Arabidopsis thaliana: one gene and its partners. The protein of the gene in region 3 interacts with the protein of the main gene of each other region in a pairwise test. Each region holds a gene or a part of one and is shown on either strand. Other genes may lie near its edges. The genes, in order: FRK1, AT4G26770, AT5G67130 and HOS3-1.

What was found.
Region 1: the proteins of AT5G67130 (region 3) and FRK1 interact in a protein complementation assay, tested with the Arabidopsis thaliana proteins (one large-scale study listed by BioGRID).
Region 2: the proteins of AT5G67130 (region 3) and AT4G26770 interact in a protein complementation assay, tested with the Arabidopsis thaliana proteins (one large-scale study listed by BioGRID).
Region 4: the proteins of AT5G67130 (region 3) and HOS3-1 interact in a protein complementation assay, tested with the Arabidopsis thaliana proteins (one large-scale study listed by BioGRID).

The regions. Positions count from the first base shown.
Region 1 is NC_003071.7:8,324,282-8,332,661, forward strand, and holds FRK1 (FLG22-induced receptor-like kinase 1), read right to left. Parts: upstream 5,664-8,380; 5' UTR 5,613-5,663; coding exon 5,528-5,612; intron 5,334-5,527; coding exon 4,787-5,333; intron 4,708-4,786; coding exon 4,226-4,707; intron 4,142-4,225; coding exon 4,000-4,141; intron 3,890-3,999; coding exon 3,818-3,889; intron 3,735-3,817; coding exon 3,663-3,734; intron 3,570-3,662; coding exon 3,489-3,569; intron 3,354-3,488; coding exon 3,193-3,353; intron 3,133-3,192; coding exon 2,924-3,132; intron 2,842-2,923; coding exon 2,715-2,841; intron 2,628-2,714; coding exon 2,565-2,627; intron 2,467-2,564; coding exon 2,277-2,466; intron 2,186-2,276; coding exon 1,786-2,185; 3' UTR 1,768-1,785; downstream 1-1,767. Other genes in the region: AT2G19180 (uncharacterized protein), read left to right, coding at 461-866, 1,161-1,294. UniProt on the Arabidopsis thaliana protein: Involved in innate immune response of plants.
Region 2 is NC_003075.7:13,479,012-13,486,237, reverse strand, and holds AT4G26770 (Phosphatidate cytidylyltransferase family protein), read right to left. Parts: upstream 4,175-7,226; 5' UTR 4,020-4,174; intron 3,687-4,019; 5' UTR 3,659-3,686; coding exon 3,452-3,658; intron 3,380-3,451; coding exon 2,965-3,379; intron 2,890-2,964; coding exon 2,748-2,889; intron 2,674-2,747; coding exon 2,517-2,673; intron 2,426-2,516; coding exon 2,378-2,425; intron 2,301-2,377; coding exon 2,214-2,300; intron 2,126-2,213; coding exon 1,997-2,125; intron 1,914-1,996; coding exon 1,857-1,913; intron 1,782-1,856; coding exon 1,698-1,781; intron 1,631-1,697; coding exon 1,541-1,630; 3' UTR 1,295-1,540; downstream 1-1,294. Other genes in the region: AR192 (Co-chaperone GrpE family protein), read left to right, coding at 75-518, 603-770, 850-978, 1,074-1,172; MAP65-2 (microtubule-associated protein 65-2), read left to right, coding at 4,938-5,009, 5,083-5,286, 5,371-5,616, 5,693-5,908, 6,071-6,226, 6,304-6,615, 6,709-6,796, 6,885-7,033 and 1 more. UniProt on the Arabidopsis thaliana protein: May be involved in the synthesis of minor phospholipids and in modulation of IP3-mediated signal transduction.
Region 3 is NC_003076.8:26,787,852-26,795,199, forward strand, and holds AT5G67130 (PLC-like phosphodiesterases superfamily protein), read left to right. Parts: upstream 1-3,447; 5' UTR 3,448-3,747; coding exon 3,748-3,852; intron 3,853-3,946; coding exon 3,947-4,069; intron 4,070-4,306; coding exon 4,307-4,444; intron 4,445-4,525; coding exon 4,526-4,624; intron 4,625-4,716; coding exon 4,717-5,020; intron 5,021-5,106; coding exon 5,107-5,330; intron 5,331-5,402; coding exon 5,403-5,489; intron 5,490-5,597; coding exon 5,598-5,798; 3' UTR 5,799-6,031; downstream 6,032-7,348. Other genes in the region: AT5G67120 (RING/U-box superfamily protein), read right to left, coding at 1-239, 613-735, 1,043-1,165, 1,498-1,611, 1,689-1,886; AT5G67140 (F-box/RNI-like superfamily protein), read right to left, coding at 6,158-6,373, 6,453-6,551, 6,644-6,779, 7,021-7,167, 7,274-7,348.
Region 4 is NC_003075.7:17,346,275-17,352,581, reverse strand, and holds HOS3-1 (GNS1/SUR4 membrane protein family), read right to left. Parts: upstream 3,365-6,307; 5' UTR 3,072-3,364; coding exon 2,297-3,071; coding exon of another isoform or gene 2,202-2,296; exon of another isoform or gene 1,955-2,201; intron 1,801-1,954; coding exon 1,649-1,800; 3' UTR 1,419-1,648; downstream 1-1,418. Other genes in the region: AT4G36840 (Galactose oxidase/kelch repeat superfamily protein), read right to left, coding at 1-416; AT4G36820 (calcium uniporter (DUF607)), read right to left, coding at 4,588-5,046, 5,136-5,693. UniProt on the Arabidopsis thaliana protein: Probable very long-chain fatty acid (VLCFA) elongase that controls VLCFA composition and functions to inhibit abscisic acid (ABA)-mediated stress responses, including regulation of stomatal aperture, maintenance of primary root growth and inhibition of germination.

The DNA of each region.
Region 1 (8,380 bases), on a different chromosome or scaffold from region 3:
GGTTTGCTCAAACATTAATAATTGATTGAAGTTAATTTTAAAATTTAGAAATTGGACTTGCTGTTTTATTTAGAAAATCCACAACTGAATGAGTTCTAACATGTACAAGATTCACCAAAACTTTGTCTTATCCTGTCAAATGGTTAGTCTTGCGGATATGATGCTAATTTCATGTTTTAAGTTATTTCAATTTTTCAAATATACTTTTTTCTTATCAATAAATTTACCATCAAAAAAGAAATAAATTTACCATCAAAAAAGAAAAAAAATTGACCAAAGAAAAAAAAAAATTGACCAAGAAAAAAAGGTTATTTGTTTTTCTATTAATTTTCTATAATTGGATCGGATCTCAGGGATTCGGATCCCAATTTGTACCCGTTTCAGTTTCACGAACTCTGTCATCGTTTATAAATGTAAAAAAAATCTCAAACTTTCTCTTTCTTGACTCTCTCTCCTAAAAATGTCTCGATTGCTCTCAAAAACCCTAATTCCCAACGGAAGATTCCTCCTCCGTCGTTTCAACGAGCCGGCGATTACGACACCACCAAACGTCGTCTGTTTCAGCCGCCGCTTTTCATCCATCCCACAAGTCATCGAGCTTGAAATCGATTCTAAAAACGAAGCGGAAGCAGCAATTCTCAAAAAGCTAAACGAATTCGTACGAAGGATCATCGTTCATAATTCGACTCCAGATTGGCTTCCTTTTGCACCTGGCTCTTCCTTTTGGGTACCTCCTCATCAGATTACGGCTACAAAGATCGCCAATTTGGTCGATAAGGTGACTAATCCGTTGACGGAGGAAGAGTCTCTTTCGCTTTCGTCTCCTTATGGTTGGCCTTGTTCCTCTTTCTTCATTCCTCCTCCAGGTAATTGCTCTGATGGGTCTTACTTGTTTTTTGGTTCTGCTTGTTAAAAAAGATTCCTTTTGAGATTTTCCTCAATGTTAAACCCAATTCATGAGACAAAGTTGAGATTTTGTTGGGTTACTTAGGGAAGAGAATATTTGAACATTATTATCTACATGAACATTTAGAGCAATACTAGAGCTGATTTGTTTTGATGTTTGTGTCTCGTTTTCGAAAGATATGGTTGAGTCGTTGTTAGGGTTATTTGCTGATATCTGTGGTGATATGTTTGTGTATGTCTATGAAAATGTTAAGATGGTTCCTCATCTACACAAGAGGAAGAAGCTAGCGTGGAGTTGAAAATCCCGGGGAATGAGATGTTGGAAGTGAAGCTAGCACATTATCCAGATCCTATTTACTCTTTTAAACCTGAAGATGGTGAAGAGTGATTCGATACCTTTTCCAGCACGAGAGAGCAGGTAATGACAATGTAAAGAAATTTTTTTACAAGTTGATTATAGATTTGAAGTAGCAATGAAATGTGTTCCTGACAAATACCTTGGATGTACAGGACAGGATTGGAAAAAACAGATGACGATCGAAACTCAAGCAGTTTGTACATACAGTTGAAAACCATGGGAGTTATATGATCTTTGGGTGACTTTATACACCTTGTTTACTATGTTTTATAATTGACTTAATATAATTAGCTTGGGGGCTTCTTCCACTTGCCAGAGTTTATGGTGATGCTCGGGTAACTTGACAATTTCATTTATAATGACAATTCTTCCCTTTGACACTTGACCTAAGTGCATATAAATAATGTCTTGGCATACATATTATTCAGCAACCATTTGCAAGTAAGATTAATGTATTTATTGAGACACAAAAGCAAATTGAATACAAATTTATTCTTCTTTTTCTACTCTGAAGAAATTCACTACCTTGCTCGAGGAACCATCTCGGTGTCTAGATTCACTGTAAGCATTTTCGTCGAGTCATCGTAGTTTTCCTGATCAGTCACTATGCCATAAACAATCTGTTTCAGCTCCATAACGACCTGACTCATCGTTGGCCTCTGCGCAGAAGTGTGCTCGGTACAAGCAAGAGCGATCTCTGACATTTTCCAAGCCGAGCCAACGTCATATCTCTCTCTTAGACGCTGATCCACGATTCCTCTAATGTCTCCGTTGGCTAATATTGACCTGACATGATCACTTATATGCACCTTCTCTGTTTTTGAGCTTGCAATAGCAGGTTGGCCTGTAATCACTTCAAGAAGAACAACCCCAAGACTATAAACATCACTCTTTTCGTTCATTTGGCGAGTCGAATAGTACCTGTAGTTTCAATAATATGTGTCACCCTAGATGAAACATTTGTATTCTTTAGTTTGGAGAAATAGTAATTAAGAAGGTTTTTATTACTTACTCGGGGTCAAGGTAACCGATGGATCCAGCGACAACTGTTGAAATCTGACCGCTTCCTTCAACAGAGAAGCTTCTAGATAACCCGAAGTCCGCCATCTTCGCTTGGAGCTTCTCGTTTAGTAAGATGTTTGTTGGCTTCACATCTCTGTGAACTATAGGAGGCTTACAACCATTGTGAAGATACTCTAGTCCTGAATTTGTTTTATAGACAAGAAAACACACACTTCATTGATTGATTTTCGCATGTTAGATTTAGTTAAATGTAATTTCAAGATGGGACTTCCCGAACCTTGCGCTGCATCTAATGATATCTTCAACCTCTCTTCCCAGCTCAAGATAAATGACCTTTTACCTTCACAAAATGAAACAAAACCAAAGTTCCTTTCTCAGTACATTATGAACATAAGATTAGTGAACAAAAGAAGAATCATTAATTAACCTGCCAAATAGTCTCCTAAGTTCTCATTAGCCATATACTCATAGATAAGCACCATGTGGTTTATTTCGTTGCAATATCCAACAAGAGAAGTCAGGTTCGTGTGATGAACTCTCATGAGAAGGTCAACCTGCGATTCTCAACTAGATTAGTTAGGTGAAAAAGTTTGAGATAAATTAAGATTAAGTCCTTGAAAGGTACGCAAAAAAAACCTCTGCTCGAAACTCTTTGTAGCCTTGAGCTGATTCTTCAGAGAGTACCTTGACAGCAACTTGTTCTCCATTTATGACACCATGGTATACTTTACCAAAACCTCCTTTGCCAATAACTCTCTCAAAGTTATTTGTGATATTCACAACTTCTGAGTACTTAAAGTATCGCTTTGCAGTTTTCAACGGCCCATTCCTCTCACCAAGTGTACCTATAAGAACCTCGTTTAGTTACTTTCTTTATTGGCAGAAATTTGTTTTTAGTATCATACCTCTTTGTTGTTTTTTCTTGAAACGCCGGAACAAAGCTAAAGCCGTCAAAAGAACGACGATGATTCCTACGACTACTAATGGAATGATGTATCCATTCTTGTTCTTCTTCTTTGTGTTTGAACAGGAATCAGAGAGACAAAGGTCCGGATTTCTACCAAATCTATAAAGTTACAATGTAGACATGTTAGGAATGAATCTTGTCAAAGCGCATTGCGGAATTATCGGTTCTAAATCACATTCAAAGAGGAAGAACTAAACTAAAATTAATAAAAGGTAGCTTTTACGAGTCGCAAACCTTAAGGAAAGAGATCCATTCTTTGATCTTTCATGCAATCTTTGTGGAACTATGCCCGTTAACTTGTTTCCTTCAACGTTTCTGCATATACGAATCCACATCAACTCGTAAATTCAAAGATATCTTTTGCTTCACTGATCAAGTGAAATATTTGCTCTAGTTGATATGACTCACAATTCGGTCAAGTTTGGTAAGTTAGCGAGGAAAGCAGGTATTTCTCCTGTTAAAGTATTACCGGATAAATCTCTGTAATGAAAAATGATTGTGTTAGTAAGGAACTCTGTGTATCACAGAGTGTCAGTGATTATTACATGAAAAAAAATACCGACAATTTTCTTATAGATGTAAGGTTGGAGAAGGCTGGATCTATCTGGCCTCTTAATTCACTAAAAGATATATTTCTGCCAAATAGAGATGTTTAGGACAAAACAAAAACAGAGCAAAACAGAGCACAACAGAACAAAGCAGAGTAAAACAGAACAGATATCTATAAATTTAAACACTAACTTACAGTGAAACGACTCTAGGATTAGTAGTGTTATCACTTTGGATACAGTCAATACCTTCCCAAGAATAATCTACGGGAACACAAGGATCTCCTTGCCAGTTCTTCTTCACTCTATACGTGGCTTTAATCTTCCTCATGGCATCAACTATAAGAGCATATAAACGAAATCAGACATAACCGAAAAAAACTTCGGAGGAAGTTTGTACCATATAAAAAAAGCCTTAATTACCATCCTGTGGATGAGTTGGGATCTGAAGGAACTCATTGACTTGATAGACCTCAAGGGCGTTAATGATCGGTGGAAGTACAAATTCACCAGGTGGTTGAAGAAGAGAGAAGTTAATGGTAATTCCGCTCACGGGATCCGGTGTAACGAATGTGTCGGTAAGCAAGTACCGAAGCTTAAACGAAGGAGAGATTACATCCTCATTTAGCCAGATGCTGAATTCTCTCGTCTGGTTGCTTTTCAGTACTTCAATTTCAGCAAAGTGCATGTATACATAAAACTTTGCGTTAGGGTCGGGCGGTCTGAAACTAAGCGTTAGGTAGAGGCTCTCGTTTCGCGCTGTTTCTGCAGTGCTCATGACAGTAGAAGCCGGTTGGTAGCCATTGTTAAGAAATTGATCGACAGTGAGAGATGTATTTAATATCTTGTATTCTGAACTCACTATACGCGGTGTCCATATACGGTCATATATGTCATCTTTGTACCTACACAAATGTGTATGAGAAACTGCAAAAACAAAAAAGTTTCCTTGTAAAATAATCAAAGTTTCTTGTTAAGGCTCACCTCGATGGAAGTTTTCCCGTTTTGCTGTAATCTAATCTCCGAAGGAGGGTAAGTGCATCGTAAGGAGTCTCATAAGTAGTGTTCAACAAGAGCCGTATCTCCAAGACAGACAAAAATGGAGTTCCTGCGTTCTTATCAACAACACACACTTGAACATTGTCTAAAAGTGGAATGGTGATTATCTCTTTGTTGAGTATAGTTGTTGCATCGTCGAGTTTAACAGAGTCCCAAAAGTTTACTCCTAGATAGAGATCGAACTCGGGTACTCTTCCAAGATCATCATAGTTCCCGTACATGAAACGAGTTCTGATTAGATACTTAAAACCTTTGCCTCTCGGCGTCGGAACATCGTAACAGCTTCTCTTGCTTTGAGGGAAACTTCTCACGTTCAACAAGTGTCTATCAAAACCACTTGATTGAAACTGAGCTGCAATTCTCTTTGTTGTTCCTGAATCAACAAACGCCGAATCCGAAACATACTTTATACCTGTAGTCTCATCGTTGTAGCTAGAATCATCCGGTATCCCGCAATCTATACTTATGAAACCTGTAACACTCAGAGAATGAGAGAAAAGAAGATACGATTGATGTATGGAAGCTTGGTTTGCTTCAAGATAAATACTAAGGGAGAGTAGTTTTCTGGGAAAATTGTATGCAAATTCTTAACTAAACGATGCACTTGATGTAAAAACGTATTTTAGCATCTGAATATTAAACAAAGCCAAGACTGTTTTAAATTACCAGATTGATCTTGAGCATGAACAAGAAAGAACAGAAGAGCAAAGCTTGTGAATAAAATCGATGAAAGAGATTTTAACATCGCCATTTACTTAATTGAGCTGCTTTCTCTGGGCTAGAGCAATGAGCAACTGTTTTATAATTAAAAAAAAAAAAACATTTGGTCAATAAGATGTTGATAGTCAACCAACCATCTTCTAAGGTTATTAGTGTTACGCAACTTTAAGAATGTTCGGACCAGGACGTAATATATGTCAACGCTTACTCTCATTAACATTATTTCTACTTATTGCATATTTGCATGGTTTTTCCTTGGCAAATGATTACCTTTAATTCTCTGCAAAATTTAATTAAAAGTATATTTGAGTCTAATAAAGCGAATGAAACTATATGCATAAAAAAACGAGACTTAAAATCTATTTTTAACTATTATTTACAACGTTGCCAAAAAAAAAAACTAGTATTTTTCAAATGTTTGACAAGAAAAGGTTCATTTTAATAAATGGTCAAAACACATCTAATTTCCTTTTGAGTTTATTACTATATATGCTATAACACCACATCACAAATGTAAAGAGACCAACACTGATATAAAAAATCTCACAACTCCCAATAGTTTGTATATTTTTTTAGGAATCAGTTGAATATCAATGTGTTACGGTGAATTTTTTTATTTAATATAGTCAAGGTACTTGACAATAATTTGCAAAACCACATTGGTAGGTGACCGGACACGTTTAGATCTTTTTATTAGTCATCACTTTCAAGTTTCAACGATGTGTTTTTCTTTTAAAACCCGATGATCCGCTTTCAACGATACAATATGTTCTTTTAATAATATATATATTGGTCAACTAGTAATTAAGTCAATAATTTTTTTATTTTTTTTTGTCGACTTCTAAGTCAATGAATATATATTCTTAGTTTCATTGCCATCCACAAAATAATCAAAGAGATATATATTCTTCAGATATTTATTTAACAAAAGAGACTATTCTGATATTAATGTATGATCATACAATTTTGGACTCCTTTTCTTTTTTTGTTTCTGAATTCGGTTTATGAAGATTACTTTAGAATACTAGCTTCGTAAGACAGGTCTAGAAGGTAAATCTTTCCAACCTGCAATCACTAACCAAATAGTTGTCATTTCGTTTAGATCAAAGATCGACTTTTAGTTGGATATCAAATTTGGTCACTATGTAATATTGGAATTCACATGGCGAATACAGTCATACAGATTGAGGTATGATCCTAAGGTCGAATGACCGAAAGAAAATGCAATAACTAGGAATACTGCCCTAATAAGCGTCCCTAATACTTTTCAACATATCAAATCTTCTTCTTTTTTTTGTTGTTGATAAAAAGGCGTTTAATTTAAATTAGAATAACTAATACCTTGCTATGACTTTTTATGGTCAAACAGTTTTAAGGAAGTAATTTGGAGGAGGACTTGACGATAAAAAGATATTCTTAAACCTTTTTTCTTTCCAAATTACTTTCTCAAAATTGTTTGACCATAAAAAGTTTTGGAGATAACCAACCAAAATTATACATAGCTGCGAGGAAGAGGAAGTGAGGAAAAAAAATAAAAATAGCTTACAGGAGATAACTAATTAGTGTTTCCACGACTACCGCGGCTTCTACAACCACAACGTCCACAATAACTCACATTAATCCATATATTATGAACCCTTGGAAACGGTTTTGTACCGGTCTATCTCGCAAAGTCTTATGAGTAGATGAGTCATATCAGATTCTGCTCAGAGATTGGAACTGAGTATCCTTGCTCCAACATTTCGAATCTTTCAAACAGTTTCCAAATTTTTTGGACGGATTGGATTTTTTTGTTGATTTGGTAAACGTTGATGTGATCTTCTGGTCCGATAATTCTAACAAAGGTGCATGAACCTCATCTGAAAAGATGCTTAGTTGACAAATAATATAAATCAAAAGTCTCATATTGACCATATGATTTATATAAGTCGGTATGCATGCATGTATAATTTAAAATATATAAGTTAATGCAAAAAGTTAAAGCTCTCCCTTTGTGAAAAAAAAATCCAAGAAAAAGATGCTTAATTGAAAAGTAGTCTGAAAAAAATATTATAATTATACAAAACTAAATTCTTGAATAGACGATACGGTTTATGTAAACCGACATGATTATATACATGGTTGATGAAAAAAGTGTTTTCTTACGTGAGATTAGTGCCTTTTGCTCTTACCAAACTTCTCATTACCCGGGTCTGCAAGCCAAACATACAAAAAAAAAAAAAAAATCTCATTACGTTATCATTAGAGCAGAAAAATCCATTAAAAACAGTCTAATAATTAAGATTTACTTAGTAGTAATCTGATCAGAACTTGTATGGTCTCAGAAATCACCACCCGATTTCGATCTCTATCTAAGGGAGTCAGGGTTAATCTATATAATCCAAGTATTCTTGAAATTCATCAACGTATTAGTTATGTCTCCACAGAGATTATACACACTCCTTTTGGACCAGTTTCATTTGTGTCTTGTTGGTAAAAAAAAACACAGAGAAATTTCTACTCTTCTTTTTTTTTTTTCTTTTTTTTTTTTTTCTCTTGAAGAGAAAAACTTCTACTCTCATAAGGTATAGAAGAACAAGAACCGAATCTATACGATATATTTTGGTCCCATGATCCTGTATAACGCTTCCTCTTCGATATCGCACCTCCTCTAGCGTTCGCAGTGCATCTGGAAATTACAAGAAAAAGAAGAAGAAAAAGAATTTAGGGTTTAGTTTAAGAAAATAAAACCTAAACCCTAGAGATCATAAACCCTGAAATTTTAATTGAAAGGAGAAGAAGAAAAATAGGAAACTCACC
Region 2 (7,226 bases), on a different chromosome or scaffold from region 3:
TAGATTCTCTATAGGTTTTTGCTCTGTATCATTTCACTGAGTTTAACCCATTTTACTTTTTTTTTTGGGGGCAGCTTGTTCCAGCTCAGATGTCTATGATGGATTCGTTTGCACTGCAAAGGTTCAATTTTTCTTCCTCTACCTCGCCTGAATCAGATGAGAAGAAGACCCACACTGAGGCCTCAAAGACAAGTGAAGAGAAACCTACAGCTGAGGCAAACCAACCAGGTCTTGACTCTGAATCTAAAGATTCTGTGACAGATTCTGCAAAAAGAAAGCGGAAAGGTGCTAAAGGAGCTGCATCTTCATCTTCTGAATCAGATTCTGAGAGTGATGATGATGAATTGTCAGCCGATGATTTGGTGAAGCTCGTAGCTGAGAAGGAAGAGCTACTGTCTGAGAAGGAAGAAGAGATTAAGCAGTTGAAAGACAAAGTTCTTCGCACTTATGCTGAGATGGAGAATGTCATGGACAGAACAAGACGTGATGCTGAAAACACCAAAAAGTATGCCGTACAGGTTAGTCTTTAAGAACTTGGTTTGCAGCTTTTGTTTCATATAATAGTTTTCTGAAATATATATATTCACTATATATGTATGCAGAATTTTGCAAAGAGCCTATTGGATGTGGCGGATAATCTTGGAAGAGCTTCTTCGGTTGTCAAAGAAAGCTTCTCAAAGCTTGACACCTCAGAAGATTCTGCTGGAGCAGCTCCACTATTAAAGACCCTTTTAGAAGGAGTGGAGATGACTGAGAAACAGCTTGCTGAGGTAAATATCGAGAAATGTAATTATAAGACCTTAAGTAAGCAATGCAGATGAGACCGGTTAAACATGTGTGCCGCTGCAGGTATTTAAGAAATTTGGTATGGAGAAGTATGATCCTATAAACGAGCCATTTGATCCAAACAGACATAACGCAGTGTTCCAAGTCCCTGATGCTTCTAAGCCAGAAGGCACAGTTGCTCATGTCTTGAAGGTAAATATATAAAGCTTGCTCAATTCTTTGTCTCTTTATTTCATATTGTATAGTCTTAAATACCAATTAGTAATGATGGGTGTCAATATGTGCAGTCTGGATACACGCTGTATGACCGAGTTATAAGACCAGCTGAGGTTGGTGTTACCCAGGGAGGAGAGAACCAAGAAGAAAAGAAAGAGTCTGATGCTTAAGAAGAAGTCAGCTGGTTTTCATAAATTTTGTTACGGTTCTATGTTTCCATTAACATCTTCTCGAGTCTTCGAGTCATAGTTTTCTTTTGTGGTTTGGTTATTCATTAGATGAACAAGATCTCCCATAAGTTGCTGGACATGGCATTTGCAGGGGAAATCCTGCTTCTGTGTCTGTTTTCTCTATCTCCATGCTATAATTGAACGAGGAAAATATCATTTTACATCTCTTCTACTCGCACACTATTACCAAGTCTCTGTTTGATTAGTTAAATCAGATACAAATCAAGGTTTTACATGGTCTGATACAACCAGAAACTAACCATAGAGAAAGAAGCTGAAAACAGAGTCACAAAACTTGCACTCACTATTTAAAACCTCCCTTGCAACTTATGTTGAAGAATGTCTCCGAGCTTTTCATAAAGCATTTTCTGCTCCTCGTGTCCCAGGCTCCTCGATATCTGCAGGTATAATACAATCAATTATTTACAATGCCTCCGTATTCTTGGCTTATATGATGATTCTTACCTGGTCTAGGATCATCTCGACACTGTAGTCCCGATTAACAATGAAAGATTGGATGTAGATGTATGCGAAAACCGCCATAACCATCTGCATTTAGGCAACAAGATTCGTTTAAAACGATGCAAAGATCATATTGCACTTTTCGACGTTAGTGACTCTTACTTGGCAATCCATTCTGTCAGTAAATCCTCCATGTCCTGGTATGCTGTCTCCGAAATCCTGTCAAAGCGACATAAACTAGTAAATATTTGTTCTTGGATCTGTAGATACAAAACCTTTTAATGTTTGAAAAATGTGTTAACCTTGATCTTGAAAGCTCTTTTGAAACCGCTTGCGAAGAAGCCACCAAAAGGCGCCATAATGGATGCGAATAGACCGAGAGAAAAAGCATGCCATTGGACAGGCAGGGTCGAGATCCCTTTCCATGGAGACTGTTAAGCAAAGTTCACAACGGAGCTCAGTTTCAAAACAAGACAACATCATCGGCTGGTTTTCACGAGAGGACAGTTAATTGCTTACAAATGGAGTAATCCAAGAGGGAAATGGGTAATACTCTGGCCTGAAGAGAGGGCCTGGATCACAATGAAGCCAACCAGTTGATAAATCCTGCAAAAGATATGCAACACAAGGATGAAGTAAAGGCCGAGACAAAATATTGTGATGGAGATATCACTTTTTGTTACCTTCCTTGGACATGTAAGCCATTGGAACTGGCCTAAGACATTAGCAAACTGTTGTACGAAGCAGATAATAATCTATCAGTCTTGAGACCAAAAGAAAGAGTTACGAACGAATGAATAAATGATAGAAGAAGGTTATTACAATAAATGCAGAGATTATAGTTGCAACTGATGCTCCGATGAAACCTTCCCATGTTTTCTTTGGAGACAACTTGATGAGCGGAGTTTTCCCGAAATAGAAACCGAAGAAGTAAGCTGCTACATCGTTCATAGCAATCAGTGCTGCTGGTAGAAGAAACCTGCATATTTAAAAGAAATTAGCACTCGGGAAAACTATTATGCTTCAGTGGATATATATAAGAGTCCATTGTACCAGAAGATCCCTTCAAAAATATTGGCGACGGTGAAAGAAGATTGAGTAAAGACAACGATAAGGATCATATGTGTCCAAGCGTATTGCCCAAACTGATACTTATACATCTTATTCTTCAATGTAAGGATAAACCATATGAGACCTGAATCCAACTTAAGCTGTTAATAAATCAAGAAAGAGAGTATTGTTTTTGTGAAGAAAAAAGAAACAGACAAACCTGCGATGTACAAGAAGTAGCAAATAACCATCTGGTACTTGATAAGACCACTCACAAGCTTGTATATGAATCTATCTGAAGAAACCGTGTTGACTAGCTGCTGTTGAATGATGCGTCCATAGACAAACAACATAGCCGTGAAGAAGAAGTGCCAATTCAAGAGCCAGAAACCGGGTAAGCGACGTTCTTCATGAGCTCTTCTGCGAAGAAAGAAGAGCTCTTTGGCCATGAATATCTGTATAACCACAACCATAGCCCAAATGTAGAGATGACCCATGTAGATTATAAACACAACTCCACCGAGCATCCAGAGAGATGAGCATGTCCTTATCCACATTGATCTGTACTTGTTCTTATCACCAAGTAACAAATTGCTTACTCTGCTTACATTGCTTCTGTTCACCTCAGCTAAATTCTGATCAATATTGAAAAAGACAATCAAATTTTGGATTCAACCGGAAAAGAGAGTATGACATTGTATAGATACCTCGCTTGATCGCCTGCGGTGTCGAATGCGAGCTGTTGGAGAGCTAGGAGTATAATTGTAATCCCTTGGTGAATTAGGAATGTTGGGATAATGGTTATCTCTCTGGTTATTAGTATTCATTCGAGACGTTGGTGTAGTAGGGTAACTAGTATCCCTTAGCTTTCTAATCCGTGGAGAATTTGGACTGAGATCTTTCTCCATTGCCATTGAGATCCCTAGGAAATGCTCTCAGTTCCTGGATTGAGTTCTTGAAATTCAGTTAATCATGATGATCTGGGTTTCTTTATACATCCGAGGAAATGAATTTGGGGTTGATCTATAATTTCAAAATGTCAACCATAACTCGAGCTTATACACGTCTTAATGAAACACACACATTGATATCTGATGAGAGATTACTTGTGTAACAAGCATATAATAGAGGATTTAGATTTGAATGTGTAAGCCTAGAAATCTAAATGATTCATCAAAGCAAAACGTGATGATTCACATACAAAGGATAAATTTCATAAGTGAACATTGCAACAAAATGGGATCATGACAAGTAGAAAAAAGAGAATGAACTTACATTAACGAAAACGTGGTGGGATGATGGTGATTGAAAATGCGAAACCCTAATTAATGAAAAGAAACGTGAAGAAAGAAACTCAAAAGGTGAGGGAAGAAGGAGGAGGAGGAAGGTGGTGGATGAGCACTTAGCGGTGAGGTTTCATCAAATCATCGGAAGAGAGAACCAATAAACTATTCATGTCGCTGCTTCATGTTTAAACCCGGAATGAGTGACACGTGTTGTCTTGATCTGTTTGGGCTGGGTCAGATATTTAAGCCCATTAAGGAAAGCCTTTTAACTATTCAGACATGAGCATGAGGAGTCAACGAGGTCTGTGAGATCAGTGGTCAAATCAGTAAATAACGCGAAAAGACAGGGTCTCTCACCTTTTTGCTGTTGTTTTTTCCTCATTAATTATTGAGTTCCGTAAAATGGGTCCCACTTTTCCCATTTCCCAACCTCCATAACCAAAGTTGGAGATTTCTCTGTTTCCTATGCTCTCTCTCTCTCTTACTCTCACAGTGACTATTCGTCGCTTCAGATCTAAAAGAGAGGAAGATAAACCATTTGGATTCAATATCGATTAAGGTAAGAAAGCCATCTTCTACTTGTTGGATTCGATTAGTTTCATTTCAGCTCATTGCCTCTTTACTTCTTCAATGTTGATTTCTTGCTTTGGCTTTGGTTTTATCACCAATGCTGTTTGATTTCTTTGAAGTTCCTTTCGAGCTTTTCTTGAGCTTAGTTTCACATTCTTAGCTTCACTAAGTTCTTTGATGTGTTTTTGTTCCCAAGTTCAAAATGTTGTTTCTGATTCAATTTGGTTTTCTAAAAAAGATTGCAACTTTGGTTTCTTTTAGTGTATAGTTAGTTTGGATCTTCACTAAATATGTTCGTTGTTTCTACTTTTGTAGGAAACCTTTTGACTTCACAAGAATGGCAGTGACAGAAGCAGAAAATCCTCTTCTTGGTGAAATCACTTGTGGCACCTTACTACAGAAGTTGCAGGTAGATTTCGCAACATACACACTTATCCTTTTAATATATGGTTCCACAAACTCAATGTACAAACTTGTTACAGGAAATCTGGGATGAGGTTGGGGAGAGTGATGAAGAACGAGACAAACTGCTTCTACAGATTGAGGAAGAGTGTCTGAATGTTTACAAAAAGAAAGTTGAGCTAGCCGCAAAATCTCGTGCAGAGCTTCTTCAGACTTTGTCAGATGCCACTGTTGAACTTTCCAATCTCACAACTGCTCTCGGGGAAAAAAGCTATATCGACATTGTAAGTAATCTCACGTCTTACAAGTGGTAAAGAGATGAGATGGTTACAGTGTAGTGTGATTCAATGTCTTTGTTTCCATTGCAGCCTGATAAGACTTCAGGAACGATCAAAGAACAACTTTCTGCAATAGCACCTGCGCTTGAACAACTTTGGCAACAGAAAGAGGAAAGGGTCCGGGCATTTTCTGATGTACAATCACAGATTCAGAAGATATGTGAGGAGATCGCTGGCGGATTGAACAATGGACCTCATGTGGTTGATGAGACTGACTTGTCTCTAAAGAGATTAGATGACTTCCAGAGGAAACTCCAAGAGCTCCAGAAAGAGAAGGTAAAATATTAGTTGGGATATGGTTATGTGTGGCCTATGTTCAAACCAGAACTAAAACTGCTTTGTGTTTGAGCAGAGTGATAGGTTACAGAAGGTGCTCGAGTTTGTGAGCACGGTGCATGATCTATGTGCCGTCCTTCGTTTAGATTTCTTAAGCACTGTCACCGAAGTTCATCCGAGCTTAGATGAGGCAAATGGTGTTCAAACCAAGAGCATTAGCAATGAAACACTTGCAAGGTTGGCTAAGACTGTCTTGACTCTTAAAGAAGATAAAATGCAAAGACTTAAGAAGGTTAGTCAAAATCATGGTCTTTGTGATCTCTGACATGAGCTTGGTCAGTTTAGGCTGCACATATGTTGAAATCCTTTCTGATTAATTGCGCTGAAAGTTTGTAACTTTTCTCTGCACCATTCTTGTTTGTGGATTTCATTAATGTATCTTGGTTTTATGCAGCTTCAAGAACTAGCTACTCAGCTAACTGATCTATGGAATCTGATGGATACTTCTGATGAGGAAAGGGAGCTTTTTGACCATGTTACCTCTAACATTTCAGCTTCAGTTCATGAAGTGACTGCCTCTGGTGCTCTCGCACTTGATCTTATCGAACAGGTATCGTAAATTTGTAATGTATCAATCAATGTGTATGATAAGTACTGCTTTTAAAAATCTTCTGTGAACTCTTGAAGGCTGAGGTGGAAGTGGATAGGCTTGATCAACTGAAATCTAGCAGAATGAAGGAAATTGCATTCAAAAAGCAATCAGAGCTTGAGGAGATATATGCTCGTGCTCACATAGAAATAAAACCAGAGGTTGTTCGTGAGAGGATCATGTCGTTGATTGATGCTGGGAATACTGAACCTACTGAGTTACTGGCTGACATGGATAGCCAGATCGCAAAGGCCAAGGAGGAAGCCTTTAGTAGAAAAGAAATTTTAGACCGTGTAGAGAAATGGATGTCAGCTTGTGAGGAAGAGAGCTGGCTCGAAGATTACAATCGAGTATGCTAACATTGGCTATGTTAATAAACACATTACTTATTAAGCATAGAGTTCAATTGATGATTCTTTTGGGTTTTTGTTCTGGAAAAACAGGATCAGAACAGGTATAGTGCAAGCCGAGGTGCGCATTTGAATCTCAAGAGAGCTGAGAAAGCTCGGATTCTGGTCAGCAAGATTACTGGTAAGAACTTCCAAAAGTCTCTCTTAGTTATTACTACACATAGAATTAAACTGAGACTGAAGAATATATCATACTTTGTTTGTGCAAGCTATGGTTGACACGTTGATTGCTAAAACCCGGGCATGGGAAGAGGAGAACAGTATGTCCTTTGAGTACGATGGAGTTCCTTTACTCGCCATGCTAGATGAATACACTATGCTTAGGCAAGAACGAGAAGATGAGAAGCGGAGGCTGAAAGTAAGTTGTTTCATCCTGTGTTAAACCGATTGTTGAAACTAACTTCTTTTAAAATAATCTTGCCTTTTCATTAACAGGAACAGAAGAAGCAGCAAGAACAGCCACACACAGATCAAGAATCCGCCTTTGGGTCTAAACCAAGCCCTGCAAGACCCGTTAGTGCCAAGAAACCGGTGGGAACACGAGTCAATGG
Region 3 (7,348 bases):
AGAGGACACTTGTTCGTGACCATTAGCCAATTCTTGATGCATCCGAAGTGAAAGTCATGCCCACATCCCAGTTTCGAAACTTCTTCATTGTCCTTCAATTTCTGCTGACAGATCACACATCTCTTCGTTTCATCGTCGCTACGCTTTTCATATTTCCTTCTTATTAGATTCTCATCAATCACTTCCTCGCTTAAACCAGTGCGTTCATCTCCTGTTTCGTCAGTGATGCTCAATAATTCCTAGAAAAAAAAAGATTCATTCATAAAATTATCGATATCTAAACTCTGCAGCTTATACAACTCTAGAATCAAGAAACCAAAATGGTACATATAATTTTTATTAAAGAGAGTCCTAATCTCTTCTACATCTAGGATTCAAATGCACTTCTTTGAAAACTACACATGCAACCGACTAGTTAACCAATACTGGAAGCATTAAATTTTCAATGTTATCTTGCAAAAAACTCTAAAGTGCTAACTTCTAAGATACAATGTTCATAACAAATGAAAAAATGGTGAAGGCTTTCAAATGTGATGTAAACACTTTAGTAGTTTTTGAAGATATTTGCATATCAAAACTTAATCTAGTCTAGTTATAACATATATAATATACCTCGTAAGTGAAGATGTCTCCATGAGAAGATGGATTTGTATACTCTTCTAGTGACTCTGTTTCAAATTGTTCATTTGTCGATGACTGTAACCAGTTTCTCCAATACTGCTCCAACGTTTCTTCCTATACAATTTCAATGTCTATATTATAATATCCAAAAGCATTAGATATTAGATAATTACCCAACTAAGTGATATTAATGTTTTCCATGTAAAACCGAAAAATTTTAAACCAAACAAAATACATGAAAATGATTATTTTAAGTTCACTAAATATCATAGAAAATTTAAACCTTTCTTTGTTTTTTAAATGGCAATTGTTTTTTTTTAGTCTTATTTCCACAAATATTGTTTCATAAACTCTAAATATACTTGAATGCTAAGAGATTTGCATATCGAAACTTAATCTAGTCTATATATTTATTATATACCTCGTAAATGAAGGTGCCTCCATGAGAAGATGCATTTGTATACTCTTCTTGTGATCCTGTTTCAGATTGTTCATTGGTCGATGACTGTAACCAGTTTCTCCAGTAACGCTCCAACGTTTCTTCCTATATAATTTCAATGTCTAGATTATATCTAAAAGCTTTATACCTTTTAAAGAAAAATATTAGATAATAGATAATTAATTACTCAATTAAGTGACATTCAATGTTTTCCCACGCAAAAACAGAAAATTTAAAACCAAACAAGATACGAGGGAAATGATTACGTAAAATCACGGAATGTCAAAACAAATCAAAATCCTTTTTTTTTTTCTTTCAAATGTCAATAATATTGGATCTTATTTCCTCCAATATTGATTCATAAACTCTTGAAATATATTTGAAATGCTAAGAGATTTGCATATCAAAAGTTAATCTAGTCTAGATTTATACTATACCTCGTTAGTGAAGGTGTTTCCATGAGAAGATACATCTGTATACTCTACTACTGATGTTGTTTCAGATTGTTCATCGTTCCATGATTGTAACGAGTCCTGCTCGAACGTTGTTTCCTAAACAATTTTCATGTCTATATTATATCCAAATAAATTATTTCTCTTAAAAAAAACATTAGATAATAGATAATTACCCAACTAATTGTCCTCAGAAGGGAACCGGGCTCTATTGCCGGACCATCACCGTTCACATCAAGCGTTGGATCTGGTGAGATGTCATCAGCATCAACTGGTGAGTAAGTGTCCCATAGATCCCAGTCGTCTCCAAATAGTAGCCACATGAAGCTAAAAGGACTATCCGGTATCTCAGAATTGTCTTCGTTTGGATCCATACTTTTGGAGAAACATATTACCTGACTCAAAATTTTTTTTCAAGGGGCTAGATTAAGCTGAATTTATATAGATAATTAACACTTTCAAGTATCATCACCATTTAACTCTTCCATTCAAATGCAAATACTTGAGTGGACAGGATAGTCTTAATATTGATAAAGTAATAGAAAAAATAAAGACGTTATGAACAAAGAAAAACCACTAAATATATTGTAGCTCAGTTAAAGGAAAAATATATATACCAAATTAAGGCTTAAACGATAAATAATGCATATAACCCACTTTTCAGTGCCTCCATGGATAAAAGGATTTAGCAACTTTAAGGAAAAAAGGTTTATACCAAAAAAAAGTTCAAGGAGAAAAAGACCACTGATTTACAATTGTTGGGTAGTTTGAAGTCCCAAAATGTTAAAAATTCAATTAAAAAAATTGTGACAGCTAATAAAAATGGAACTTTAGCTGGATTCGGAAGATTTATTTTATTGAAAATAAGGATTCTGTTTTAATTATAGCTCTAATACAGTTGAATTGGTTTTTTATAGAAAAACATTTCTTTATTGAATTTTCTTCAATGGAAAAATATCATTTTAGAGTGAATAAGTACAAAAAATAATAAATGTTGCTTTCAACAAAAAAAGGAAGGAAATTTTATGTTTTGGCTTTGTATATTTGCTTTCAACGTCATTAAAACGCTTTTTAAACCGGAGATATGCATCTTGTTTTCCTCATTTACAAGTTCACAAGATGATTAATTACATTACTTGGGTCATGGGCTTAAAAAGAGAGAGTTTGGGTCCAACTAAAAAGGCTCAGTAAAATACGTAAATGGGCCTAGCGTTATAGCGAGAGGCAGAGAGAGAATTTACACGACGACGACGTCATACTCAATGGACGTAAATGTCCAAACTACAAAAGTTTTTTTTTTTTTTTGTGTATTAAAAAAAAAATCTCAAGTTAAAAACACATCAAGAGTATATTACAGCAACTTGTGTGTTAAATCACCAATTGTGAATAAATCGGTTATGGAAATCAATCATTTTTTTTTTTGGTTTAATGGAAATTAATCATTTGATCGTTAAGAGTGTCACTAATTCGATACGTCACTTGCTGACGAATCTGCAGATGAAATAGGCATGGTATGATAAATCTCGTTAAGAATAAAATTTCACCTAGATGTTTGAGTAATTTTTGTAAGATGATGAAAATTGTAACATTTTTCATTGAAAGAAGCAAAGAGACAAGCAACAAGACAAGAGTGTCCCCACGCATGTGAGCACCGTTAACCATAATAGAAAAAAGATATCTTCATCTAATAATAGGTGAAAAAATCTTATAACTGAGCAAATTTTAGAGAATGAAAATAGTGATCTGTGAAATAATTTTTTTTTTTTTTATGATAGACCTCACCTAACAACTAGAAGAAATAATATAAAACCATTATTACTTATATTGATAAACTCTTACAAGATCACTGTTTCCATAAATCTTGACAAAAATGTCACTCCATATGTTTGGTGTACAAGACTAGAAACTGTAGTTTTGAGTTATGTTATTATAATGTTAAACTGTATTATGCTCAAAATTGAACTCCTTTTGAAAGGTGGTTTATCTTCTTTACTAATCGTTTCTTCATTTTCTCTCTAGGAGCTAGGTGGGAAAAAGATTCAACCTTGTCTTAGAAAAAGAAAACCAAAGCTAATCTTTTTCTTTTGTACCTCTCTTTCAAGGATTAACAAAACAAATCGATGAAGCCCGGGTTTTAGTACCTAAACATCTCTTTGTCTCGTCTTTGAAAACCCCCCCAAGTAGATCCAACATCATTCATATCTCTCTCTCTATCTCTGCATAAGCTACGGAGCGATGTCGGCGTGCATCAATGGCTTATGCAGAGCCGTGACTGTCTCTCTTCTTCTTCTTCTTCTTTCTTTCTCTTTTTCCTCAGCTTGCTCCAATGGAAATTGCCAGGTTCTTGATTCTCTTTGCTTATTATTCTCTGGTTTATGGCTATCAAATTTGGGTCTAAATCTTTAGGGATTTTGCATTTTTGTGTCTCTTTCAGCTGCTGGATTCATGCTCCTCGGCTACTGATTGTGTCTCTGGTTTATACTGTGGAGACTGTCCTGCCGTTGGAAGAAGTAAACCCGTCTGCACAAGAGGCCAAGCCACAAGTCCAACTTCCATTGTGAGATTTAGTTCCTATAATTAGTTGGATTTCTCTAGAGTTTCCAATTTTTGAAGATGCGTTGTTTCAAAAGATAGTCTAGATCACTTGGTCTATCAAAAGTTTTGAACTTTGAAGATGGGTTTTGCTGAAGATTTCATTTGGTTGCATTAAAAGATAGTCTAGATCATTTGGTTGTATCAAAAGTTTTGAACTTTGAAGATGTGGTGATGAAATTTGTGTGTGTGTTTTTTGTAGATCAATGGATTGCCTTTTAACAAGTATACATGGTTGATGACTCATAATGCCTTTAGCAATGCAAATGCACCACTTTTGCCAGGTGTTGAGAGGATTACATTTTACAATCAAGAAGATACTATTACTAATCAGCTACAAGTAATGCTCTTATTACCAACTCTCTTATTATAGTTTCCTCTTTTTTTGGATAAAACTCTTGAATGTATATTTTTGTTCTAGAATGGAGTTAGAGGGCTAATGCTGGATATGTATGACTTCAACAATGATATCTGGCTTTGCCATTCGCTTCGAGGGCAATGTTTCAACTTCACCGCTTTTGTAAGTTTTATCTTCAGCTTAACCTTGCTGGATCGAAAGCTTGAAACCTGATTGGATTGGTAAATGTGAACTTTGTTTTCTTTTTGAATCAGCAACCTGCAATTAACATACTGAGGGAAGTTGAGGCATTTCTGAGTCAAAACCCAACAGAGATTGTTACCATCATAATAGAGGATTATGTGCACAGACCTAAAGGCTTATCAACACTGTTTGCCAACGCTGGTTTGGACAAATACTGGTTCCCTGTTTCGAAAATGCCTAGAAAGGGAGAAGATTGGCCTACTGTGACTGACATGGTGCAAGAGAATCATAGGCTCCTGGTTTTCACTTCTGTTGCTGCCAAAGAAGATGAAGAAGGCGTTGCGTATCAGTGGAGATACATGGTTGAAAATGAATGTGCGTATTACACACAGTTTATATCTTTAATGAAAATTGTCTCTGAGAATAACCTTCTCTTGCCATTTTCTTATGATTGTCTAAAGCTGGGGATCCCGGAGTGAAGCGAGGTTCTTGTCCTAACAGAAAAGAGTCTCAACCTTTAAATTCAAAAAGTTCTTCGCTATTCTTGATGAATTACTTCCCGACATATCCGGTTGAGAAAGACGCTTGCAAGGAGCACTCAGCTCCACTTGCTGAGATGGTTGGGACTTGTCTCAAGTCAGGAGGGAATAGAATGCCAAACTTTCTTGCTGTTAACTTCTACATGGTACTGAATCAATCATATAACTATAATATGACTGTTTTTACGAGATCTAGCTAACAAACCATAATATTGCAGAGAAGTGATGGAGGCGGCGTTTTCGAAATTCTGGATAGAATGAATGGACCGGTACTTTGCGGTTGTGAAACTCTTTCTGCTTGCCAGGTATTAACTTATTAACTCGCGCCAAAGTTACTTATGGGTATGAAATAAGATCTTACAAGCCTAAATTATCTAAAACCGGCACCCGTATTTTGGTTCTTGATGTTGCAGCCAGGAGCAGCTTATGGTTCATGCAAAAATGTTACTGTACAGACAAGAACTCCAAGCATGGATTCAACGGCTGGAAGCAACTCAGGTGGAAGCTACTCAGGTTCAGTTCAGTTCTCAAGATCTTTAGCTTCTGTGGCCCAACTAAACAACATTGTTGTCTTCTGCTTCTCATTGCTTCCGTTGCTGATATTTCTACTATGACACAACCAATCAAACCACGTGGAGAGATTCTTAGGTTAGAGAATCTTGATCACTTCTTTAGAACGAATGAGAGAGCCTAAGTTGACATGAATTGCCTTAGAAAGAGTTTCTGATTTGATTCTTGTATTGTAGACTGCAGAGCTATAGGCAGAAATCTTGTGTATGTGTGTCTTCAGCTTCTGTTGATTGTTATGCAACTTATATATATATATATATAGACACAATTCTACTCCAATAGAAACTTTACTGAATATTTATATATATATGTTGTTGATTGATGAGAGAACACATAAGATATATGCAGATTCAATTGTATGAATTACTATGTACACAACAAACAAGAAATATGATGAGCAACACTAGACAGCATGCAGCAACGGTGGTGGATTCTGAGCATTGAGAAGCAATTCCATGGGTTTGATCTGAAGAGCAGGACTGATGGTAAGTAAAGCAATGAAGCAATCTACAGGAACTCTAGTTCCCCATAAGTTGATGGATTCGAGTTTTCTGCATTTGTTTACAAGAACAAGAAGGCCTCTCTCTGTCACATGACGGCAACACCACATTCCGATTGTCTGCATAAAGGATTCCAATTTCGAAAGCGTGATTCTCATGAATCTAGAGAGAATTATTTGGTTAGATGATTGTTGTTACCTTAAGCTGATGGCAGCGTTCTGCAATTGCGAAAAGAGACTCATCGGTTATAAATGTTCCTCCTATGTTTAGGTGTTGCAGTGAGGAAGTTCTTGAAATCTGTCAAATCAAAATCAAGATTCTCTGAAATGATTAAAACAAAAAAGGAATCTTCAAGATTCCAGTGCACAAAAAACGGTGTTAGATTTTACCAGTTGAACAACACCAGAATCAGTAATGGCGGTCATGCCCCATAAAGAGACAGAGTTTAAATTGGATACACATCTTGCAGAAGCTATTTGGTAAAGACCATTATCAGTTATATGACAACCCCATCTGCTTCGAGATCTTCAAATATGAAAGAAGAAAAAAACAGAGTTTATAGTTCTGTTCTGTTTTTTGACCAAGTCAATATCCTATCTCAAACACCCTAAAGGTAAAGTTGGAAACTTGACCAAAAAATTCAGCAAATCTCCACTATCCCACCAATCTTGTTTACTCTTAATCCGCCATTGAAGGACAAATCAAGTACGATCATAGTACAAGAAACAAACAAAGAGCAAAACAGAGAGAAAGAGAGAGAGATTACATGTCGAGTTCTTTGAGGTTGAAAGCAAGATGAACGAGACGAGAAGTGGAATCATCGTCCATTTTCCAACCAGCAAAGCTCAGAGTTTCTCTTCTCGCCATCGATTGATTTACAGCTTTTCTCCATTTCTTGCAAACACCACTTGCCCTAAAAACCCCAAAATTCACCAAAAACTTCAATCTCACAACAATGATTTATTTAATCAAAAAAAGAGAGGATCAAACTTGTAAGGATCATCAATGAAAACACTTACTGGGCCAAAACGGTGAAAGAAGTAGCCAACGAAAATATATATGCAAGAAGGTCTAATGGTAAACGATCAATCGCT
Region 4 (6,307 bases), on a different chromosome or scaffold from region 3:
TACAATTGTAGCTGTTCCAAACCTTTTACCTCTTTCCAGTCCAACTCATCTGGTTGGCACCATAGTATTCTACCGCGAGTAGCACGACAGTATAGTAATTTCCCAATGACACACCAATCGTGTCTACTTCCTACCTTAGAATCTTTTTTTCCGCTTTTCCAGATTCTACCTTCACTTGGCAAGAAGCTAAAGCTTTGGTCCTCCTCATCCACGGCGTAAACCTTCTTCTCCTCTATCACCACACTTTGGTTGATACTATGGGCCATCTTCGGCGTATTAAATATACCCCAAGTTTGGTAAACTGGATCGAATACCTCCGCCCAGTTTGAGGAATCAGCGTCCTCTGGGCACCCTCCAAAAACGTAGATCTTCCCGTCTATGAGGCTTGCCGATGCGGAAGCACGAGCCATCTTCATAGACGGGACGCGGTGCCATGTCTGAGAAAAACAGTTGAGGAACAAGACATCGGAAGTGGGATTGCCGTTTATGATTCCACCGATTACATAACATAGATCCCCCAATTCACTACCACAAAAGAAGATGATTCCGGAGCCTGATAGGGGTGCGATGGGACCGGCCTCAGTCGACGACTACCCGTAAGGACGAACCAGCGAGGGGTTGGATCAGGTAAGATGCGCAAGCAGACGAAGAAAGATGGCTCAGTGCAACCAATCAGCGATCGCGTGCTGCAGAGCTCAGGGGATGTTACGAGAGAGCGGTATTTCTTGGAGCGAGAGATAAGGCTGTTTGGTCCAATCTCGAGACGCGAGCCATGCAACTCACAGCCACAGAATCCGGTAATCCAGACCACGACGGAGACGCCTCATTCATCGTCTTCTTCCTTTTACTTTGCGGTGGCACTTCGGGGGCGTAATTGTACATCGTCGAATGCTCTCGCATTCTCAATTCACAACAACACAAATTTAGAGATCTCTAGATCCATAATCATCTGATTGATTGATCGACCTTTCTTGCCATAAATTCTTGATTGGAATCGAGATTTTGTGAAGATAGGCCGATTCGGACAGAAACTATATATATTTTATGGTTTTTACTTTTCTCAAATTAACAAATATTAAAGGAAAAGGAAAGAAACAAGTACTTGCGCTTCACTTTGTCGGTTACTTGTTGTACTTGTGTTTCACTTTGATCTGGAGAGATTTGAAATTCTCTCTCCTCGTCGCCTTTCAACAAGTTCCGCGGTTGGTTGCAAGAGCCTGGACTCTTTGTTTCTGGTTTGTGAGATTGCAGAACCATCGATCGAGAGCTTAAGAGGATTTTATTTTTACAGTGGAGAATCAGATTTCAGATGTGGGCCTTATTATGTAAGCTTTTTTACTATGGGATATGTCATATGTGTGCCTAGTTAAGTAGAAAACCGTGGCCTTAGGCCCATCTTGTTCTACAGTTATAAATGCCTTAACTTTGATTAAGTGTAGTAATATTATACTAGGCCCAAATATTAAATATAGTCGACATAGTTCATTTCCTTATACAATGGTCTAAGGCGAACACTCGACCATATTCGTTTGACCTGTACATTTCCTTATACGGCATTCAAACGGTAAATAGAAAATCAAAAGTGTGTCCCCAAGTAGAGAGATACAATTGCAGCTCTTACAATCTAACACATCAGTCTCAAACCATATTATGTTTTCTCGCTTTTAATAATTTTTCCTCTTATCCAAAATGCATTTTCACTTGGTAAAGAGTATAAGCTTTTGATCATCCTCGTCCATGATCCACCATGTAAACCTTTGTTTCCTCTATCACCACATTTTGGTGGGTATTGTGGTATATCTACGTCATAAAGTTACCCCAAGTTTGAGTCTTTGGATCAAAAACCTCTTATGAAATAAATAAATATTTTTAAAGATATATTTATAAATAATCGACATAATTTCTTTCCACTTAAAAAACACAAAACTAGATTTAAAAGAATGAAAAACAAGAACTAGATTGCGTTAACTAAGAGCCAATAGTTCAAATGTAAAATATCTCATGCAAAGTCAGAGATCGATGGTTTATAAAAAAAAAATTGTCCCGGTTTGAGAAGATGTACAGACCTAGACGCAGAACATTTTAGTTATTAGAAAACAAATTAGATTATACTTCAGTTTTAAAAGTGAAAGACAAAAAAGAAGATTAGATTTGTTTTATTGAGTAAAAAGTAAAAACTAGTAAAAAGGATCAATTAATTCTTAAGCGTTACGTTGGCTATTCATTTTATTAATATGGCGTCGCATTGGCGAATGCATTCTCACATAAAAGTTAAGAAAAAGCAACAAAATCGCACCGTTGAGAACCGAGTTTAAACCCCACGCGCCAATCCCATTGCATCCACCTTTAAAGAGGTGCATCGTAAGAACCCCAGCGTGAGACACGAGATTACAGCCCACGAGAACCAACTGACAATTCACCACAAACGAAGGGAAAGCCGAACCGGGTAAACCAAACCCGGTCCAGAATCTATAACCGTAAACCACCGAGTAAACCAGAGTCGTCGATAGAATCGCTAGAATCTGGTACGACTGCGAGAATTCTAGCCAGAGGAAAGACGTGAAGGCCATGACGGAGTTACAAAAGAGCTGAGACACGGCGAGCCTCCGGCTACGTAAAACGGCGAAAATCGTACGGAACATGTGGAGAAAGCGCGTGAGGTAAAACACGTATGACCAAAAGAAGACACGACCAGAGGGACGAGTCCCGAGAGGGAAACAGAGAAGCCATTGGAGAGGAGTGGCGGTTTTGCTCCGCCGCCATAACCACCGTGTGTCACGGATCTCTGCGGCAGCGGAGAGGAGGATTCCGGCGAAAATGGTGGCGGAGAGGATCGACATGAGAAGGCTGTGGATTTCGGGGATGTGACCTAAAGGAACGGAACGGTTACTTCGGCGTACGGCGGAGAGGAGGATGTGGAGGGAGGATGAGACGGCGATATAGAGGGAGATTGATGTGAAGAGGAAAGACCACGTGGAGCCCCATGATTGGCTGTTACTCCAACGGAATCCGACGATGTATGGATGTTCGGAGAGGAAGTAGGTAATAGAGTTAATCAGAGCCGTTGACATAGTTTGAATTTGATCGTACGGTGGTGGTGATCACAGTGACTCTTCTTCTTCCTCTGTTCCTCTAGTCCTGTCTTTTATATGTGTGCGTGCGACTTTTTCGCAAAGTGAATCTCTGTTTCTGCTCTTATTTTTTTTGTTGGGATATTTAATTTCCATTTTCCAATAATTGTTGTAGAACATACAGTAGGTCACTAAATGGCCGGTCTTGTCATGAAAGCAAAATGATGTGGACCAATATTAATTGTCACATTTACGTGACAAATTTAATTTGGCTACATAAATGAATATTGTAAAACGGTTATGAAAATTTTTAAGATTTATGGTCTTAATGGGGTTTTACTGTTATTGTCGAAAATCGAAATAGCAAACCATATTTGAAATATCTTCAAAAAGATCAGAAAACTTGGTACGCGTCAAGTTGACCATTACCATAATCGAAAAGCAGGTGGGAAAACCAAAGAACCTCTAGACACGAAAGAGAGTTTGGTGTTGAGAAATTCAGACAAGCGTCAATTTACAGATGCCTTCATGGTTAAGTTTTAAGTTTTACTCAAGGAGCTACAGATGAGAAAGAGTGCATTACGTAAAACAAAATGCAAATATTGGAATATGGATCGGGCGATCGTTACGAAGATGAATCTACATCAGTAATCAGTAACGAGTTAGTATTAAATTACTATTTCACACAATTTGATGACCAGCTAAGACAGAAGATATTTGATACGTATCAAATAAAATTAGTAGAAATCAAATTGTCCTAATCGTTATATTGGCAATAAGCGTTATAGTACCACGTGAGTAAACAAAAATATTAGATACGTACCAAACAAATGCGGCAGGAACAGTGTAATATATCTCTTTTTCACTATGAGGAATTTGGTTTTGTCCACTTGATAGTATTTTCCACAAGTGACTCTTTTCTTTAGTCTCATTTTCCAGAAGTGATTCTTGACCTACCAAACTAAGTATTTTATTTACACGGTCGTAGTTGATTTCTCGTGAATTAATTAAAAGGAGACTTGGACGGTGAACTTACAACGACTACTCCCACGCATAACATGTTCTATCAATCATTTATGTAAGCCCGCCGAAACAATCATTAAGCATATGTTATACTTGTTTAATTTATAAACTAAAAATCATTTAAGTTAAAACTAAAACTAATTTCGGAATTGGCTTCAACTAAGATTTAGGCCTCAAATGACAAGGTTTTGTTGAGTTTTTGGTATAGATAACATGTTTAAAGTAATGATATCTCATATGCATATGCATGGAAGTATTGTAACATTTAACATTCAGAAAGTCAGACTTGAAATTTATAAATCTACATCACAATCGATTCTTTTATCTACTCTTCCAAATTACATAAGCCGCACTAATAGAACTTTTTTTTTTTTTTTTTGTCTTTTTCCTATTTTCCTAGAAAGATTATGAAATATTCAAAAATTATAGTTTGACACAATTTTGGGGGTCAATATATCTTTCTCAGGTTAGTAGGACAACGAGACACCAATGATCAATTCTGTAGAGATCCAAGAATCTTGGGAACAGCACCTGAAGGCTTGGGATTAAACAGCTTTTTCAGCTCATCATACCTCCCAACATCAAAATCCTCAGATTGCATCAGTTTCCTTTGTTTAGCCTCAAACCTGCTTTGGTAAAAACCTTGAAAGGAAGGCTCTCTCGATGTCTTGAGGAAAAATGTGTAACCCGCCATGAAATATACCGATGAGACATAGAAACAGATCGGTTCCATAACATCCCATGTCAGGTCCCAAAACGTTAGCCTCATAAACCCTGCGGTTTGGATGATCAAGTAACCCAAACCAGCCCAAAGCTCTCTTCTCACCAAAGAATGTGCTTTTTGGTCAATGACCGTCTTTATAGCTTCAAGCTCATTTAGCTCCTTTCTTCTTGGGTCATTCGGGTTATGGATTTGTGATAAAGGAAGAAGCCCCTCTATGGATTTGGTTAACTGATCAACACACAAGACCTTATCAGAGAATTGCATAGACAAAAAAGAATTCAAATGGTAAAAAAAAGCAAAGAGGAGGAAGAAGTTACCTGATGAGGTCTTAAACAAACAGAGTTTCCCATAACGATAACGTTTCCTGAATCATCAAGCATCTTAGCGATCAAAGCTCCTTGAGAAGGATCCAAAGAAGAATCACTACAAACACCTAAGAAATCTGAGTAACGAATCCAGATTTTTCCTGTCTCCATCAGCTTCGTTTTAATAACTTCGATCTCTGCTGCTCTTAGCAACTTCTTCACGTCTTGCACAGTAAGCCCTAACGTCTCCTCCTTCGGATGAGAAAGTCCGTCTAATCGAATCCGATCCTTGTTCATATCCATTTCTTTAAGCTTCTCCATCAGACTCTCCCCAATAGACATCTTCGAAGTCGTATCAATCCCATTCATGGAGAATTTATTCAAAAACCTCTGAGAAATCGTCAAATCTCCAGGCTCTGGATCAATCGTGGCTTCTCCTATATCTTTAGGAACCCTAGTTCGCATGGCTAACGAAGAAGAAGACGAAGTACGACAGTTCATGAGACTTTGCGACGCCGTTTTTGACATATTGAACAAACGGTTCGACAAAAGCTTCTTCATCATCACCATGACGAACAGAACAAAAAAAAAATACGAAAAATCGAAATCCCAGAAAGGAAGAGAAGAAAATGAATTCGATTTCAGTTACTACTTGAAAAAATGAAACAGCAAGAGCGAGCTTTATATAGGTAACCAAAGTTCTCTGTTACAGTTTTAATTTTACGTTTAACATAAATCTTGTGGGGCCTTATACACGTCAGCAGATATATCACGAGAAATTCAATAAACGCTGCCTTTTCGTGAATATTGATAGGTGACTACCGTCCACGTGGATAGATTTATGTTGGTGATAGCTTTCGATGCCTCAATAACCGTCCGATTAAATTTTAAAAAGATATAATATCTTGATAACTTATTTGACTATGAGTAAATTACACAACAGAATTAAAAAGAAAGGCAAAAACGTGTCGCCACATTTTCTGTTTTATCTTGTTATTATCTCTTGCATCTAGTAGTAAATGGTAATGTTGAAGAGATGATTTTTTGAGATGTAATAATGTCTATATAAGGAAAACTTAGTAAATATTTGAAACAATGACGTGTTGCCACATTTTTCGTTTTTATCCTTTGCACACCTAATAAAGAGATAACAAATGTGATGTAATGTGGATGTAACTACTGTG